2 linked regions of the Xenopus tropicalis genome follow. Each later gene encodes a partner of the first gene's protein in a complex. Links are inferred from orthologs where the notes say so. Each region holds a gene or a part of one and is shown in the gene's direction. Other genes may lie near its edges.

Evidence for each region.
Region 2: the proteins of fst (region 1) and gdf11.1 are in contact, whole or in part, in a crystal structure (PDB 5JHW), measured with the Homo sapiens proteins. The link is inferred for Xenopus tropicalis from reciprocal best matches to the Homo sapiens genes FST and GDF11. Residues at the interface, in NP_037541.1 of Homo sapiens: Leu34, Arg35, Gln43, Val44, Leu45, Tyr46, Lys47, Thr48, Arg60, Ser62, Asp72, Asn73, Leu75, Phe76, Met79, Ile80, Leu134, Asp135, Arg149, Gln153, Pro154, Glu155, Val180, Val181, Asp182, Gln183, Tyr188, Val190, Thr191, Asn193; in NP_005802.1 of Homo sapiens: Asn299, Leu300, Gly301, Leu302, Glu310, Arg312, Asp328, Trp329, Ile331, Ala332, Lys334, Arg335, Tyr336, Lys337, Tyr347, Met348, Phe349, Met350, Pro354, His357, Gln361, Ile380, Asn381, Leu383, Phe385, Asp387, Lys388, Gln389, Gln390, Ile391.

The regions. Positions count from the first base shown.
Region 1 is NC_030677.2:192,428,093-192,432,617, reverse strand, and holds the start of fst (follistatin), read left to right. Parts: upstream 1-1,698; 5' UTR 1,699-1,788; coding exon 1,789-1,873; intron 1,874-2,871; coding exon 2,872-3,063; intron 3,064-3,858; coding exon 3,859-4,077; intron 4,078-4,427; coding exon 4,428-4,525. UniProt on the Homo sapiens protein: Multifunctional regulatory protein whose primary function is to antagonize members of the transforming growth factor beta (TGF-beta) superfamily including activin, myostatin, GDF11 or bone morphogenetic proteins (BMPs).
Region 2 is NC_030678.2:138,140,933-138,144,750, forward strand, and holds part of gdf11.1 (growth/differentiation factor 11), read left to right. Parts: intron 1-326; coding exon 327-700; intron 701-2,126; coding exon 2,127-2,507; 3' UTR 2,508-3,818. UniProt on the Homo sapiens protein: Secreted signal that acts globally to regulate anterior/posterior axial patterning during development. May play critical roles in patterning both mesodermal and neural tissues. It is required for proper vertebral patterning and orofacial development.

The DNA.
Region 1 (4,525 bases):
CTGCCATTAGAGGGCACTAAACAACCTTGTATTTATCCTGGAAATAGTAGGGGTGGAGAAAGTTAAAGGGAAGGGGGAAAAAGGCTTTGTGAAGTGAGCAAAATGCCCCAGATGTAGAAAGGGCGACAATAGGGGGATGTTGCAGGGTCAATCATTTACCAGTGCGCTTTAATGTGTGCCTGCAGGTGGTGCCCCAGCCCCTTTGTACTCGCCCCACAGAGCAGCCTAATGAGCAGCCTGGGCCGGCCTGAGGGGCCCAAACAACTGTCTGCTAATATTAGCACGCCTGTATTTCTGGATCTATTATAGTCCTCCCAGACAGATCCCATTGTAATGGGATCTTTTATTAAAAGATTAGTACTATCTCCTGCAGTTGCTGGAAAAAAATCTGTTATCGCCGAGTTATTTGCAGTCAAAGTCTGTGGCAATACAAATCCAAGCGACCTGCCAGTATCCAGGAATGCAGTCTGCATAGTTCTCTGTCTGTTGTCCTCTGGGCTCTGGAGGCAAAAAGAATAGAAAATGTAGAGGGACAGAGAGAGGGAGAGAGAGAAAAGAGGCAGCTTTTGAATCAACAATACCATTTTCCGTGAAGTAATGGTTCTGTATAAAAGGAAATATCGCCTACTCAGTTTCATTCAGCTGTGCCAAAAATGTTAGAAATGAGTGGCCGCCAACTTGCAGCGGAGGATGCCAGACTGCGCTTAATAAACTGGCCCTATAGAAGTTCATTATCGATGGGGCAATCTCTGGGGCTATGAAAGGAGACCGCCTACGTCGTCCCATTCCTGTCTGATACTCCAGACACTGCCACTTGAAAAGACTGTCACTTGGGGGGGGGCAAATTTAGGTATTAAACTTGTATTTGTCCCTGAAGACTCCCAGAGAGCTGGATGTGGGAGCAGACACTTAACTACTGTTTCAGGTTCTGGGAGTTATATTTTAAAAGGCACTTTAAGAGTTTGAGTGGGAGGTGGGTGGGGGGCAAGTCCTAACCCCCCCTCTTTAGACAGTGCGCCCCGATGTTGCCCGGTCTTTGCTCAGAAGGTGCCCAGGGGGAGCCAGAGTGGGTAGGTCCTGCCCAACAAGGCTGAGTCTGGGAGAGGTCACGTCATTGTCCTGTGCGCACCCAGCAGCACCTATAGCAGCGCTTCCCACTCACATGCCCCACTCCTATAGCAGCGCTTCCCACTCACATGCCCCACTCCTATAGCAGCGCTTCCCACTCACATGCCCCACTCCTATAGCAGCGCTTCCCACTCACATGCCCCACTCCTATAGCAGCGCTTCCCACTCACATGCCCCACTCCTATAGCAGCGCTTCCCACTCACATGCCCCACTCCTATAGCAGCGCTTCCCACTCACATGCCCCACTCCCTGCTGCTGCCTCTGCTGCTGCACAAGTAGCCACACTGCTGCTCCATTTCCCCACCAGCTGCTGGACAAGTTTCACTCTCTCTCTGCTTGGGACTCAGCAAACACTCCTTGCTACATTCTCTCTAGGATCTACCTACCCACTGTTCATTGGAAAAGGTTTCCAGAAGGTGGAAAATGTCACCTGATTCACTCTGAATTTTTCTTTTTACCCCACCCCCAAACACACACACACATTAGGAGACCGCCCACCGCAGACAGCTAAGACCCCCTTATAGATTTAAAGAGAGACTGCATTAGAGGCTGCTGTTCATTCAATAGAGCGATCATAAGCAGAGTCCGGAGTTGTGCCTGGTCCATTATCCCATCTCTCCACTTGAGACTCTGCTGCTTCTCCACTCTCTGCACTGAGGATGTTAAATGAAAGGATCCAGCCGGGCATGATTTTCCTCCTGACTGTCTCTCTGTGCCATTTCATGGAACATCGCGCAGTCCAAGGTAAGAACCTGAAGGACTTGATCACTCTTTTTGGATTTTCTTTCATTTTTTTTGGTATTAGGGCAGACAGTAGGAGAGGCAAGTTAGGCTGGTGACTTAGATCAGACTTCACTTTTACATATCTGCAATATCAAGATGGTAGTTCTGGATTTTAAGGGCTACAGTCAACTTGGCTTCCAGATTTATTAATGTGTATATAAATGTATCGGCAGAGAGTGCTACTTTACTATCAGTGGTTACAGTTATGTAACGAATCTAGTGACTTATTAGGGACTTGCGAGGATGTCGGTATTTGTTTCGTACTACTCTAGTTGTACTCCAGCTGGTGGGACAGAAGTTGTGGTGGCAAGTCATTGGCTGCCAGCCCCCTACTATACGTAGCAGAGGCGCAGTCGGACCCAGCGGTGCGCAGAATTTCTTCCAACTGACGCAATCTGCCTTGTGCTAATTGCTGCCTACTTGCAGTGTTAGTTGGCGCAATTCCAAATGGAACTAGTTGTAGTGAGTTGTTTAGAACTATTGCTGTTCAGCTTATCCTTTCTCTTAACTTTAAAAAAGGGGTAACATAGCGTGGGATTGGGGAGAAAACACGTTTCGAAATGGATTAGTGTTGCATGTAGATGTTCTGAATGTGCCTGGATTGCAACATGAGGTTGGATCGCAGGCTTGACAACTGACGCACTTGATACTGTAATATTTCAATAAAGCAGGGGTTTTATGGGCTCGTTATCTCAACATCTGGATGGGAGGCTGTTCAACAGCGCGGCCAATTAACCCTTTGTGTAGCCTGGGTGGATATCTATAGAGTGGAAGCCCTGAAGGGGTTAACCGTGCAAGTGTGAGCGGTTTGGCTGGGGAGAGACTGCTGTTACTAGTGCAGGTTATGAAAGAGGCCGAATAAAAGTAAACAGTCTAGTGGAAGTGAGCGCAGAGCACACGTGTTGTGTCTGGGTCACTGCTAAGTGACACTGATATGGCTGGGCCGCTGTCTCTTACAGCTGGGAATTGCTGGCTGCAGCAGTCGAAGAACGGCCGATGTCAGGTTCTCTACAGGACTGAGCTGAGCAAGGAGGAATGCTGCAAGACTGGCAGGCTGGGTACCTCATGGACTGAAGAGGATGTACCCAACAGCACCCTCTTCAAATGGATGATATTTCATGGAGGGGCCCCTCACTGCGTCCCCTGCAAAGGTACTTTACTTGACAATTTTTACTACCATCTCCTCGTTTTGAAAATGAAAGGGTTAAATTCCTACATCTCTGTAAGCAAAGAAGTCGAGAGAAGTTTTTTTTTTTTTTAGTACTTTAACATACAGTCTCTACTGACACGTTGTAGGAATACATGATTTAACCATCCCTGTGTATGCTTGATGCGACCTGTGCTTCCATGAAACCATGAAGCTGCCATATGTATTTATATACCCGCATACTTGACATATTTTGAACTGCTTTTGGCATTATTTTTGTATAGGGGGACGCAGCCACACAGTCCATATGTGTGTATGTGTGTATGTGTGTGTGCAAGAATAATCTCACCCAGCTCAGACTTTAGGATACTGTGCTAGCAGATTCTGGCCACCTACACTTGCTTATTATGTGTTATTTTTCACGGAGGGATTTATTAAAGTGAAGGGGACATCTGCACTCAATTTTGAGTTCGCTTTCTGGAGGAACTTTTGTTCTCTCTCCATAGATACTGCATGCTGTTTTAGCTATTAGGCACAGAGGGGAAATACTTTTCTTGTACTAGTAAGTTCCCAGTGTCAGGAGCTTGTATGAATCTGGCATATCTATCTATCATCTATCTATTTATCATCTATATTAGATACCATAACACCCCAGATGATCTTTATGTAATGGCACAGGCACATTAGTCCCTGAAAGTCTAGACATGCTGCTGAGATATGGGGCTATTTATCACATTCCTAGTAATACTATTTCTTGAGTACTTTGCCCACTGGCTAATTAAACCTGTTGCACTTACAGAAACATGTGAGAACGTAGACTGTGGCCCTGGGAAGAAATGTAAAATGAACAAGAAGAACAAGCCGAGGTGTGTCTGCGCTCCGGATTGTTCCAACATTACTTGGAAAGGTTCCGTGTGCGGAATAGATGGCAAAACCTATAAGGATGAGTGCGCTTTGCTCAAAGCCAAATGTAAAGGGGTCCCGGAGCTGGATGTGCAGTACCAAGGAAAATGCAAAAGTAGGTTAAACAAGTGGGGGGAGTTAGGGATCTGTGGGCTGGGAGGGACAGCCACATTAGATTGCTGTGATGTTACCTGAACCTCATGGGTGGGCAGCATGGAAAAGAAAGCTCTCATTGGGTGGCTTTTAGTAGCCTGAGAAGCTTTTTTGGTGCGCATTGGCTTGGGAGTTGCAAAACTTTATGTGATATAATACGGGTCCCATAAAGTACATAGTATATGGAGTAAATAAGAGCAATTTATTATGACCTTACGCTTAGCTGTGCCCCAGTAGTGCTGTAAGTCCATCTGTCATTCATTGCGCCTTTATACTGATCGATGTGCGCCCTTGCGCTTCTTTCTCTTTCAGAAACTTGCAGGGACGTGCTGTGCCCAGGGAGCTCCACTTGTGTGGTGGATCAGACCAATAACGCCTACTGTGTGACATGTAATCGGATTTGCCCGGAG
Region 2 (3,818 bases), on another chromosome or scaffold:
TGGTAACTGAAAGCATTCTTCCATTTTTTCTTATAGGTTGGTCAGTAGAGGCCACCCTGTTATGGACTATTGCTTATCTCTTCTCCAAAAGCAGACATAGCTGTTCTGTTGCACAAACTAACCCTTGGTTATGCTGCCCCAAAGCTACCAGTAATATGTCAGAATGAAATCAAGAGAATGCAGAATCATATTAACAGACCTCATATTTGGAGAAACACACAGGGAACAATTTTTAGTTGTGGATGTTATTAACTCGGCATGGGTATGAGCAGATGCCATGCAAATCTTTTCTGTAACTTTGATAGCTCTTTCTTTTTCATCTTCAGCTGACCACGCAGTAAGAATAGATGGGAACCCACACTGCTGCTACTTTAACTTCAGCCCAAAGATAATGTTCACCAAGGTGGTAAAAGCACAACTCTGGGTATATTTGCGGCCTGTTCAGCATACCTCCACAGTGTACCTTCAGATCCTACGTCTTAAGCCTGTGACTGAAGAAGGGAGCAAACACATCCGTATCCGCTCCCTCAAGATTGACCTGCACTCCCGCTCAGGCCACTGGCAGAGTATTGACTTCAAACATGTACTGCAGAACTGGTTCAAGCAGCCACATAACAACTGGGGCATTGAGATTAATGCCTTCGACCCTAATGGAAATGACCTGGCTGTTACCTCTCTAGGACCAGGGGCGGAGGGACTGGTGGGTGCTTAGATCTTTTAAGATGCAAGTCTTTATTTATAGTAAGATGTTGAAAACAAAATCTTTAAAACAGATGCATTGCTTGTTATGACTGGATGTGTGTATTGGCACAAAAAACCCAATGAAAATATAACATTCCCCAAACTGTGCACTTGCCCTGATTCATTAGCATGTTAAGTGGATAGTTAGCTGCCCTTGATGGGAGCCACAAACTGCTACCTGTGACAACTGGTTTAATAAAAATGTACATTTTGTAATAATATTTTTATTTGTATACAATGCCACTTCAAATACAAATTAGTATGCATTTTGAGCTTCTTGCATAGTTACATAGACAATTAAAGTAGCACTTTAATTGCAAAAGGTTTCACCAATAGTATTTTGATTGCTGATATGAATACAAATATATATTACAATATTTATCAAATTTACCAAGGATATTCCATTTCCAGGGGCTTCTCTGAAGCTGGAGACTCATCTAAAGGAGATGCACTCTCTGCCTTTCCCTAAAACGTTATGATTGTGAAAATGAGATTTGATGTGAATGGTCATTCTCCAGATAGGTCCTTAGAATAGTATTTACAATTAGTTTTTTCTTTAACCTTTACTTTTTAAGCTTAGTGGAGTGCTGAACAAATTCAGATTGCAGAAGAGCAAAACAAAACTTACAGGCACATCTTGGGAGCCCTTGTTACTTGCATTTAGCGTAAATTGCCCCTAAGAGGTGCTCACTCTAAAACTTTTACAATGGAAGAAATTTCTCTACAGCTGCAGTGGACAATCTATTATCATCTATTATGTTTGGGTCAAGGCAGATAATTTGTGTGCTCTTACCTGGTGTGCAAAAGGCATGCACCAGGATACTCAGTATGTAGAAATGATTACATACACGCTATAATAAAATATTTGCCATGTAGACACAATCAGGGTCCAAAGACTTAACTGGCCATATTATGCATACATGTAACTTATGTGACTTAACTGTGACTTAATATGTAGATGGCAGTTACATCCAGGTCAGCTAAATATGTATATCATATAGAATAGATTGTGTGTCACAAATGTTAGACTTTGCTGCTATCATAGTTGAAGGGTTAGTTCAGGGACAGGGTCATTTTCTTGAGAGATTTGTCTGTCAAGGTTAACTTTTCAATGTATGACTTGGCCCTTGCCAAAAAAACATCCTTTTTGGCTCTTTTCATACTTTTTAATTTATCGAGTCATTTTAGCTATGTAGAGTTGCCTATCTAGAAAGACACTGACAGACTAGACAGCATGATGAGCCCACCAGGAAGTGTATTCTATACCATTACTGTTTTTGCGTTGAAGAACCCTTTATGTTCCTAATTATATTAGTATATTCATCTACAAATAAAAAGTTGCATGTCCTTGTTCTTCTTTAATTTTGTGCCTCTTTTCTATCCAGCACCCCTTTATGGAGCTACGTGTTATGGAAAACAATAAAAGATCACGGAGGAACTTGGGGCTTGATTGTGACGAACATTCCACGGAATCCCGCTGCTGTCGCTACCCACTTACTGTAGACTTCGAAGCCTTTGGCTGGGACTGGATTATTGCCCCCAAACGCTACAAAGCCAACTACTGTTCTGGCCAGTGTGAATACATGTTCATGCAGAAGTATCCGCACACTCACCTTGTGCAACAAGCCAACCCAAGGGGTTCTGCTGGGCCATGCTGTACCCCTACCAAAATGTCCCCCATTAACATGCTGTACTTTAATGACAAGCAACAGATAATTTATGGCAAAATTCCAGGTATGGTTGTTGACCGATGTGGCTGCTCTTAAGATGCTGAACGCTGCCTACTCACCCTCAAATCCTCTTTCTCTCAAGGGTACAAGCAGACCAAAATTTTGGGACTGGGGATAGTGGAGTATAAGCCTTCAATGTCCCTTTCCCCATACAGGTTAAGATAGAGACTTATCACTCTTTGCATTTCATTTCTGCTTATAGTTCAGCTCTTGCCCCTTGCAATAACCTGTGTCATGTATTAATTATAGAACCCAGAGAGTTGGGTCCCTAAACAAACAATACCAAAAGCAAGAAATTAAACAGCATCTCACACCAGGGTGTGCCATATTGCACTAAGAATCACAGGCCAGCCTTTTTGCAAAATCCAACTTATTGTGCAAATCATTCTTCCTATGTAAAAAGAACTGAAATAAGCATGGAAGATTTTTGTTCATTTTAATCATTTTAAAGGCATTTCTAGTCCAAAAGCAGCATTAAACAGCTGTCAGATGCAAAAGAGCCAAAAGTGTCAGATGTTTTGTACTCGACAGCTGTTTCCTTTACAGTGCCCAAACCATTGTACATAAACCATGTAGTGATGTAGTGCTTTCAATATGTCACACTCTGGTCCAGTTGGTTGCATTCATTCACTTGCACTTGTGCACATCACCACTCACACTATTTTTCATGGCCTTTTGCTTAATAATCACTGGAGTTTCCTCCCCTTAATCAATGTGCCTCGCCCCTCAGACGGGACAGCAAAAGAAGATCAGGAATATTTTGGGAAGAAATTGGATGTATCTTGTGCTTTGTGCAATAAACAAAATGCAACACAAATAATGAACACAATAAAAAGCCCTATTAAGTCTCACTATGGGTTTTATAACATAATGCCTTTCTGCTCTTACAGTGTATGGGCTGCTGACATATCTGTGGCAGGGACATACTTATAGCTCACTTAGAGATAAAATAACAAATACTACATGGGGGTTCCCTGGGCTGGTTCTAGACTGGGACAAATATGGCAGTTTCTCTTGCCAGCTATTCCTTGGTAAAGGTAGAAATGACTTATAATTACTTAGTATAGTAATCGTTAGATAATGTTTTATCTGTATCAGATGTGTCTTTTAACCATCTGTTGTTGAACTGCAGCCTTCAGCCTCTGAATGCTGTTGGGGCCACAGTTTCTAAGTGTGTTTTAAAGTTTTCTTAAAGGGGAACTGTCACTATCATAAAAAGTCCATTAAAATGTAGCAGGTGGTTAATAAATCTGTTTCCCAAATAGTCTTTATTATTTTTCTTACAATTGTTTATATATTTAACAATTTACCTGTGAGTTCCTCGATCTCTTTTCAGCTGTAACCAAC